Linked DNA regions of Arabidopsis thaliana. The protein of the gene in region 2 interacts with the protein of the main gene of each other region in a pairwise test. Each region holds a gene or a part of one and is shown on either strand. Other genes may lie near its edges.

Region 1 (4,812 bases), on a different chromosome or scaffold from region 2:
AAGTGACGAAACCATACCCTTTCGATTTCCCAGTGACCTTGTCAAGGATCACAATAGCTTCTTCTAGATCTCCGTAACTGGAAAAAAGCGAACGGAGACCTTCCGTAGTAGTATCCGCCGCGAGACCACGGATGAATAGCTTCCGCTGCGAGATATCAGAGTCGGCGGTTAATCGGACAGATTCAAGCACGTCGGGATGGCGTACGATAGCCTCTTGCAATAAGTCGAGCAGCTGATCAGTGGTGAATCGCTCGATAATCTTCCTCGCGTCTTGCGGCGACAATCGAGTTGGACCAATGGTTCCGCCACCGTTGGTATTGAGTCCGTTACCGTTCTCATCGAGCTTACGCTTCTTCATCATATCCATGGTTACAGATTTATCTCTGGAGTTATTCTTTCACCGGTAAATCCCTAATCCTTCTAGTCCAGCCGTAGAGAAAGCGAATCTGACACGAAAAAAAAGAGGGGAAAATATGTGACGGCGGAAAAACATATGAGGGAAGCGAGGGCTTTATACGGTTACGAGATTTTCCATTTTGGGCTGAAATTTAGAATGATGGGCCGGGATAAAGAACACAAAGCCCATCTTGTTACTTCACACCCGCTTCTCTCTCTCATCATCAAATTGTGTGTTCTGTCAAGTTTGTCGAAAGAAATATGATATTGATGACATTTGTCATTCTTCCTGTTATAATATGAGTATCCCATTCCCATGTAAACATGATTGGGGAATTAGAAATTAAGACTAGGAAGAAGCCAAAGAAAGACACAAAACAATAGCCTGTGGGAGACATGTTACTAAATCCCGTTTAATGCAGAACCAGGAGTGGACATAAGAGTAGCAAGCATCACAAGGAAGAACTTGAGATCGATTTAGGATATAAACTACTAAAAAGAAACGCAAGAGTGAAAAGTTCTAACCATGCCACAGTAACTTAGGCTATTCTCTCTCACATAATCCCAGACTGATAAACACTCGAGATAAAAGGAGTTTTAAAGTCTTGCTACTGCACTCTCTCTTCCTCAAATTATCTATACACAGCCCAGAATGCATGATTAAAAAGGAAACCCACGACTGCTTCAACTGCTTTAACCCTGGTAGGGGTTGCCACTGCCATCCCGGTTAGGTGGGTAGTTGTTCTGGTACTGTGGCTGCTGCATTCCACTACCCTGCTGCTGGTAGTTGTTGTTCTGTGGGGGTGCTCCTCCGTATTGAGGTGGTGGTACTGCTCCATATTGAGGTGGTGGTCCTCCTCCATAGTTTGGTGGTGGTGCTCCTCCCATGTTGTTTGCTGGTGGTGCTCCTCCATAGTTGGGAGGTGGTGTTCCTCCATAGTTCTGAGGTGGCCTCGGTCCTCCCATGTTGTTTTGCGGTGGTGCTCCATAAGGTGGTGGATGCCTTGGTCCTCCCATGTTGTTTGGTGGTGGTGGTCCATAGTTCTGCCCCATGTGAGGTGGAGGAGGTGCAGAGCCACCCATATGAGGCGGAGGAGGTGCAGAGCCACCGATGTGCGGAGGAGGAGGAGGGCCTCCCATGGGAGGACGTTGAGGAGGAGGGCCTCCTGCCATGTTCTCTCTTCTCCTCTCAAAGTTTCTGCTTCTATCATTGTTGCGAGGACGGTCATTGCGTCTGTTCCTTTCATTTGCTCTAGCATTGTTCCTTATCCACTCCTCGTGGTACTTAGGATCATAAGGAACAGCCTTCCCATCGATGAAAGGTTCCCCTGAAAGTCAATATATACAAAAACGCATCAAACTAACTCTCTAATAGGATCACCAGAAAGATTTAAACTCTCACCAAAGCAACATCACTGCGACTTCTACAACACCAGTCTCACAATAGATATCACTAAATCAAATCTAACAGATGCACCCACAATGTTAATTAACTATAAATAGAAGTCGCCCCATGTGTCAATCTAACACAAAAGCATGGAGCAAGTAACGAGTCCACAGAGCGAAGACTAGCAACAGGTAGTTTCCCTTGAAAATTTCAAACCCAGCAAAAGTATAATGGACGAGCAAAGCAACTACCCCAATTTCAAACCCAGGTTATGATACAGATAATACACTTAAGCCTACCTCCATAGTCTTTGTTCCTCACATCCAGGTAAGAGTCAGGAAGAACCCAGCGCACATTTGACAACTCTGGAGAGTTACAGAAGAAAGTTAGAAGGCAGATTATAACACAGAAATGAGGAAAACTAAAACCCAACAAAGGCAAGAGTTAACCTTTTAACTTGTGAGAAAGATCTTCTGACACAAGTGCCCCAAAAGCATAGTAGCACCTAGTTGAAACCGAGTAGATCTTCATCCTAGCTTCGTCTTCACTGAAATGTCCAAAACGAGATATATCATGTTACAGCTCCAAAAATGATCTAAGTAAACACACAGATCCGTCATACACAGTAGTGGATTTCTCACTTATTTAACCTAAAATCCCTAGAAGAACATACACAGAGAGAGAGAGAGAGAGAGAGAGTTTTGAATTGGGGATTTACCTGCCAACAATCTGAGCTAGGGTTTTGATGTAGCTATCAATGATTTCATCTCTAGTAGGCTCACCCTGAGGTGGCTCCACGACGACAAGCCAGTGCTCGAAATCGCAACCATCGAGCAGGATCGTCTCCTTAGGTGGCCTGTTCGACCAGTTGGGATTCGGGTCGTTCAGAGAAGACGATGTAGCCTGCGTCGAGAGACCTTTGACAGACACAAGGCCGCCACGGAAAACGGAGGAAAAAGCGGCGACCAGAGGACGGGACCGGCTGAGCAGAGAAGACGCCGGAGATTTGGCGAGAGGAGCAGATGAAGCAAAGGATCGCGTGAACAGAAACGAAAGAGATTTCGCCGGTCGGCAAAGAATGGATCGAGAAATGGTATGCGTCGCCATGGAAGCTCTAGATTGGGCTTCGCAGATAAAACCCTAGGAGAGAGTGTGAAAACAGATGAGCTAGAAATGAAATCAAGGGTTTTATGAGGGTTTAATAGTAGATTATGAGTCGAGGGCATTTTAGGTATTTCATAACTGAACTGGACAGCGAAATCTACGGTACTACCCCCTGATCTTATCAGATTCAACAAAATTGCCCCTATTTTACCTTAAGTTACAAATAAACACATTTTCGCCAAGAAATTAGTGACATTACTCTGTTTTCAAATGATAAAAAAGCTATTTTTATACAAGAAGAGAAGACTGAAGATTTTATTTTCACTAAATTGGTAATAATCATATTATTAAATGGTTTACAAATATGAAATATTCCAAAGCTAAACATAGGGGCAAATTCGTATTTTAGAGTTATTGTAAGGTCAATTTGGTGAAAATGTGTGACTAAAATATCTTTCTCCATAAAATAATTTTTTTCTCCAGCACACCCTCTAGCTCTTGCAGAGGTTTAAAGAAAATATCGGCAACATACATAGAAAAATCTCGTTTATTCATTTATAAAGGCATAAAGTTACACACCAATCACTAAGCCAAGCTCATATGTCATATATCATAAAGTAAGTAATTACTAATGGAGAGAGATAACTAAAAGGCAAAGCCTTCTTTTTATTCAAGCCACTCTCATACTTTCATTGTTTGAAATCACACAAGTGTTGCCTTTCCGAGCTGAAGAGCTTTCTCTCGCCCGTAAAACTTTTCGACAATGGCAAGTGAAAACTCCATTGCAGTCCCTGGAGCTCTGCTTGTTATGACATTTCCATCTACCACGACTCTGTGCTCAATGTGACTCTTGTCCGAAAGTTTGTCGCTCACCACTGGGTGAGTAGTAGCCTTCTTACCCTATACAAAACATGTCTCTTATATCTCAGTTTAATGACTTAAAAGATAGAACAAGAAACTACAATTCTAGTACTGTTTGATTTATGCACCTTGAGTAAACCATTAGGCTCGAAGACGTAAGCAGGCGATGCGCAGATTCCTCCATATGGTTTGTTTGCTTCTGCCTGTTTCCTTAACATATTAACTAGCTTCTCGCAGCTTGCGAATCTTTGAGCACCGTTAAGACCGCCCTGTAGTTCATCAAAGAAGTTGGATTATGTTTTTGGTTATTTGTCATCATAGAATATTAAAATTTAATTTAAGACTAAATAGTATATTCACATTTTGGAAGTTAGCAATACTCACAGGTAACACAATCAGATCAAACGACTTCTCTGCAACCTCATCAAGAAGAACTTCTGCTACTAGCTTAGCTTTGCGAGATCCTTCAACTTCCAAACTGTTACCAACTGCAGCAATCACTACATTTGCTTTTGCCCGCCTCAGGATATCTACAAGCGCTATAGCTTCAATTTCCTCTGACTCCTCTGCAATGGGTACGAGAATCTGAAAAGGGAAAACATTATCTCTCTGACTCATAAAAGACTATTGATCAAGAAAGACAAAAGCTTTACAACACAGCATGTTCCTAGGAATCTGTATAACGGATCAAACAAAGCCTGTCTTGGAAAAATGTTAAAAGGGCCAAGTGGAGAGGCAACTGAACATTTACCTGTGGTGTATCTTCAAATGACCAGTTTGTTTGGTTAAGCTCAGTAAAAGTAAACTCCTCACCAGGGTTAGGACGAAGCAGCTGATTTCAAAAGGATAACAAGTAAGTCTACGAGGAGGTGACATGAACACGTACCACAGCGGTTGATAAAAGAGGCAGAGACAAAACATACCAAGATACTGGAGACTTCATCAGCTTTTTCTTTCCCAAACAACTGCTCTATAAGCGTGATGGAGAATTCAATGGTGGTTCCTGGTCCACGACTGGTCACTATTCTTCCATCAATTTGCACTCTTGACTCAACAGCAGTTGC
Region 2 (4,714 bases):
GCACAATCCCTTGGCATAGAAGTGGACACTGCGAGAGAACGTCTTAGATTTTGGATCAGCAGGAGCGCACATTCTCCATCTTCACATGACGCCATGGAAGGTACAATTTACCTTACCAAATTCCTTTTAGCCAAGAGGATTATCCATAAGACAACTCTTACAATTGGTTCTTATTTTCAGTTGAGCAAGGACTAACAGAGCTAAGAAAGCTGCGGATAGAACGTAGATTGTGGGAAGCCTCCAGGTCCAGCCAGTAAGTAGTGACCTTGGGGACCTCGGGATCCCAGAACAGTCTTGCTACCACAGCTTTAACAGTACTGTATATCGTACATGCTTTCTTCTCGTGTGGTTGGGGTACTTTGCAGTCAGAAAAATGTTTCCAGTTTTGTAAACCGAAGAATTGTATTACACGCACTACTTTTGACATATAATATATCCACGTTTTCACGTCCTAACCATCAATTTGCAGACTCATTCTTGTTGGATAAGTATTTAATGTAAAATATCTACTGATACAGACTAAAGATCATCAGTCACCAGTAATCGTTGCAAGAACACTTTCCCTCCTTGAAATGGTGAAACCTCCTGGAATCTCGGATGACGATTTCATGTCCTGTAACCAAAGATACATGCTTTGCAAACTCATGACAATCTGGGCATGCCCGAAGATTCTTGAACACCTTAATAGGTGCAGGGGCATTGCCATGCACCGATATCAGCCCAAATGCAATGGCAAGTCTCTCACTATGATCAAGAAGCTGTTCTCTTCTCTCTGTCATATTACACTGAAACATATCACCTTCCATGAAACCATCAAACTCCTTAAGCTTCTCATAGATCTCCTGAGTTTGTGGATGGTGTTTATCACCCACTATAAACCGATGAATCTTACCCTTTTCTTGGATCCAGCTGCAGCTCAGTTCCTTCTTTAACATCCTCTCATTCATTAGTTTCATCATTTCAGCAGCTTCTTCCCATTTTCCAGCCCAGGTGTACAGATTAAACGGTAGCACATATCCAGCTGTATCTTCTGGATCGAGTTGGCGAAGTTCCTCACCAGCAATTTCGCCCAGTTCAAGATTCTTATGAGTCCAACATCCACTTAGAAAGCATTTCCAGCTCATTGCATCAGGTTCAAAAGGCATATTCTTCATAAATTTGAGAGCTTCGTCTAATAGTCCCGAACGGGCATAAATGTCGATCATACAATCATAATGATCAATAGTCGGAGCCACATTATATTTTCGAAGCATCGTGTCCAAGCAATGCTTTCCCTGTTCAACTAGGCCTGCATGGCTGCACGCGGTTAAAACCGCAATAAATGTAACTGAGTTTGGCTTCATACCACAACTCACCATTTTCTCAAACAATCTCAAAGCTTCAGAGGCATTTCCATAGTAAGCATGACCTGATATAAAAGCAGTCCATGCAACAATATCGGGGTTGTCCATGGACTCAAAGACTTCATTTGCATCATCTAAGCATCCACATTTTGAATACATCGTAATAAGAGCGCTTTCTCCATACTGAGATCCAATCAGACTTCTTTTTATAGCATCTGCATGGACTTGGCCACCAATGTTGCAATCTGCAAGTACCGAGCATGCTTGGAATATGCTAGTATATGTGAATGAATTTAGAATCGATGCGTTTTTGCTTCTCAAAGACTTGAAGGTTTTAACAGCCTCCTCAAATTGACTCATTTGACAGTATCCGGAGATGATTGCGCTCCAGGAAACATCGTTTGGCTCACGGATTTCTTGAAATGCACGACAAGCAGACTCGAAGCTGGAACATTTGATGTAAAAATCAACAAGTGGAGTTCCAACCGAGACTTCAGATTCCAATCCAAGCTTAGCGACACAGGCATGAATTTGCTTGCCAAGATTAAGCTCTTCAAGAGAAGCACACGCTTTAAGAACAACTGAAAACACAAAACTGTCCCATTCAACACCTTCCGTTACCAAATCCACAAATAGTTTCAAAGCATCTCTTGCTCTTCCAGCTTGAGTATAACCTACCATCAATCCCGTACAAGCCACTGGTTTCTTCACTGCCATCTGATCGAACACTCGCTTAGCACCCACTAACCAACCACATTTCACGTACATGTTCACGATCCCGGTCTCTATAGATGTGTTGCTACATAACCCAGCACGTATAACATGAGCATGAATCTGTCTACCAAAGTCTAAAGCCCTGGGGTTTACCAAAGATTTCAAGAGTGTCGTATACATGGAAGAAGGAGGCTTGTCGCCTGACGCTAGCATTCCCGAGAACAAACCAACAGCTTTATCCAAAATTCCTTGTTCGGCGTAAGCAGATATCATCGTTGTACGAGAAACTGCATTTAACTCAGACATTTCATCGAACAGCTTATCTGCATCTTCCAAGCTCCGACACTCACAGTACATTTGAAGCACACAGTTCTGAAGAAGCACAGAAGGATTCTCGATACCCATCCGCATGCGATCGTGCAAGAGTCTCCCATGAGATAAAGACCTCAATTCTCTGCAAGCCTCAAAGAGACATTGGTAAGAATACGAGCTAACGGAGACACCAGCCTTATCCATTTCTTGCAAAAACTCAAATGCTTCGTTGAGCTTCCTATGCTTCGACAACGAAACCAAATGAAGATTCTCTACTTGTCCTTGCTTATGCGAGATTTTAACAGACGGAGAAGAAGTGCTCGACTTCAGAGAAACCCACGACGGAATTTGATCGAAATTCGCGTTCTTTATAACCGGAACTCGAGAAGAGCTAAACGAAGACTGTACAGTGAGAATCGTCATAGTTGATGGAGAAATTCTACAAAAGTTTAGAGCTTTTCCCTTTCGAGAACAAACGACAGAGAAGCAAAAAACTCAGACTTTACTGGCTTCAGTTATTGCAACAAGCCAACAACCAAAACGGGTCAAAATCAAAATCAATGGTTGGTAATAAACGACAGCGTTTTAGTACAGAGACCCGAAGAGTGGAAGGTTCAAAGTTTCCTTCTTTGGTGTCTCTCATCAAATGAGAGTGAGCCGTACGATTTCTCTCCTCTTCTTGTTTTAAAAACCTATCAATAATATTCTTCTTCTTCCTCCTCTCAAATGGCGGCTACTAGGGTTCGTTGTTGTCATAGCAATGCAGCTTTCACCAGATTGCCACTTACCCGCCACCGAAACTCGCCGACGCTACCGATTTCTCTAAATCGTGTCGATTTCCCTACGCTGAAGAAATTATCATTACCCATTGGAGATGGCTCCTCCATTAGAAAGGTTTCAGGTTCAGGCAGCAGAAACATTGTGCGAGCTGTGTTGGAAGAGAAGAAGACAGAGGCGATAACGGAGGTAGATGAGAAGGGTATCACGTGCGTGATGAAGTTTGGTGGATCTTCGGTGGCGTCAGCTGAGAGAATGAAGGAAGTTGCTGATTTGATTTTGACTTTTCCGGAAGAAAGTCCCGTCATTGTTCTCTCTGCTATGGGGAAAACTACCAACAATCTCTTGCTTGTAATGCTGAGATTCTCTCCCTTTTCTCTGTTTTCTATTCAAAGTTTTGAATTTTTTTGATTGGAATTATTGGTTTTGTTGCTAGTGAAGGCGGGAGAGAAGGCGGTTAGTTGTGGTGTTTCTAATGCATCTGAGATTGAGGAGTTGAGCATTATAAAGGAATTGCATATCAGGTTTTGGTTTCTTGTAACTATGATTAATTTGGTACCTTTGAGTATCTTTTCCTTTGTTGCTGTTGGTTTTGATCAAGAATGTGTTTTTTTGTTGTTTCAGGACGGTGAAAGAGCTCAACATTGATCCCTCTGTTATTTTGAGTGAGCATATTTTAACTTGTAGACTTTCCAACATTTGGAGCTTCATTTCTTTCTAATTCTGATAAGGCTCATAAATTTTTGATTTGTGATGAGTTTGGTAATAATTCAAGAGTGTACATGCATTGCCTATTTATATCTTGGATACATTTTGCAGCCTATTTGGAGGAACTGGAGCAACTCCTGAAAGGCATTGCCATGATGAAGGAATTGACACTTCGAACCAGAGATTACTTAGTCTCTTTTGGAGAGTGTTTGTCTACAAGGATTTTTGCTGCTTATCTTAATACAATCGGTGTCAAGGCACGCCAAGTATGTCCATCATCATATTTTTAGTTCTACTGTAATTTTCTTAATTATATTATATATCACATTTGGTTGCTTATTTAGTCAAATTGATATCTTGGTAGATTAGGGTAGAAAAGTTCAATCTAGATTTAGAAAATATGATAAACAAATTCTATATACTCTGAATTGGTCATTTAACTTTTTTATTAGTTTGGTTTCGGTTATCAAGGAACACATATTGGTGTACTTTCTCTGTTACATGCTAAACTGGCCTTGGTGTGAGCTTTATTGCACAATGATCCGGCTCGCAAACATAGCTAAGTAGATTTATCGACCATTACTTTGCAGTATGATGCATTTGAAATTGGTTTCATTACAACGGATGATTTCACAAATGGGGATATCCTGGAGGCAACTTATCCAGCTGTTGCCAAGAGATTATATGATGATTGGATGCATGATCCTGCTGTTCCTATTGTAACAGGTTTCCTTGGGAAGGTATTTCAAACAGTTTACAATCTACAGATAATTAAGATTTTCATTCATGTTTCTGTGGCTTGCCTAATTATTTCATTCACTAATAGGGTTGGAAAACTGGTGCGGTTACTACCTTGGGTA

The links.
Region 1: the proteins of RARE1 (region 2) and RIP1 interact in a two-hybrid assay, tested with the Arabidopsis thaliana proteins (one study listed by BioGRID).

What each region holds. Positions count from the first base shown.
Region 1 is NC_003074.8:5,048,399-5,053,210, reverse strand, and holds RIP1 (cobalt ion binding protein), read right to left. Parts: upstream 3,017-4,812; 5' UTR 2,891-3,016; coding exon 2,502-2,890; intron 2,331-2,501; coding exon 2,233-2,330; intron 2,149-2,232; coding exon 2,083-2,148; intron 1,725-2,082; coding exon 1,090-1,724; 3' UTR 756-1,089; downstream 1-755. Other genes in the region: AT3G15010 (RNA-binding (RRM/RBD/RNP motifs) family protein), read right to left, coding at 1-367; DJ1A (Class I glutamine amidotransferase-like superfamily protein), read right to left, coding at 3,590-3,787, 3,877-4,017, 4,133-4,333, 4,500-4,580, 4,672-4,812. UniProt on the Arabidopsis thaliana protein: Involved in organellar RNA editing. Required for the processing of numerous RNA editing sites in mitochondria and plastids. Binds to the plastid RARE1 factor, a pentatricopeptide repeat-containing protein involved in RNA editing.
Region 2 is NC_003076.8:4,246,421-4,251,134, forward strand, and holds RARE1 (Pentatricopeptide repeat (PPR) superfamily protein), read right to left. Parts: upstream 2,888-4,714; 5' UTR 2,793-2,887; coding exon 534-2,792; downstream 1-533. Other genes in the region: AT5G13260 (myosin), read left to right, coding at 1-100, 181-257; AK-LYS1 (aspartate kinase 1), read left to right, coding at 3,096-3,497, 3,588-3,670, 3,771-3,811, 3,966-4,120, 4,445-4,594, 4,681-4,714.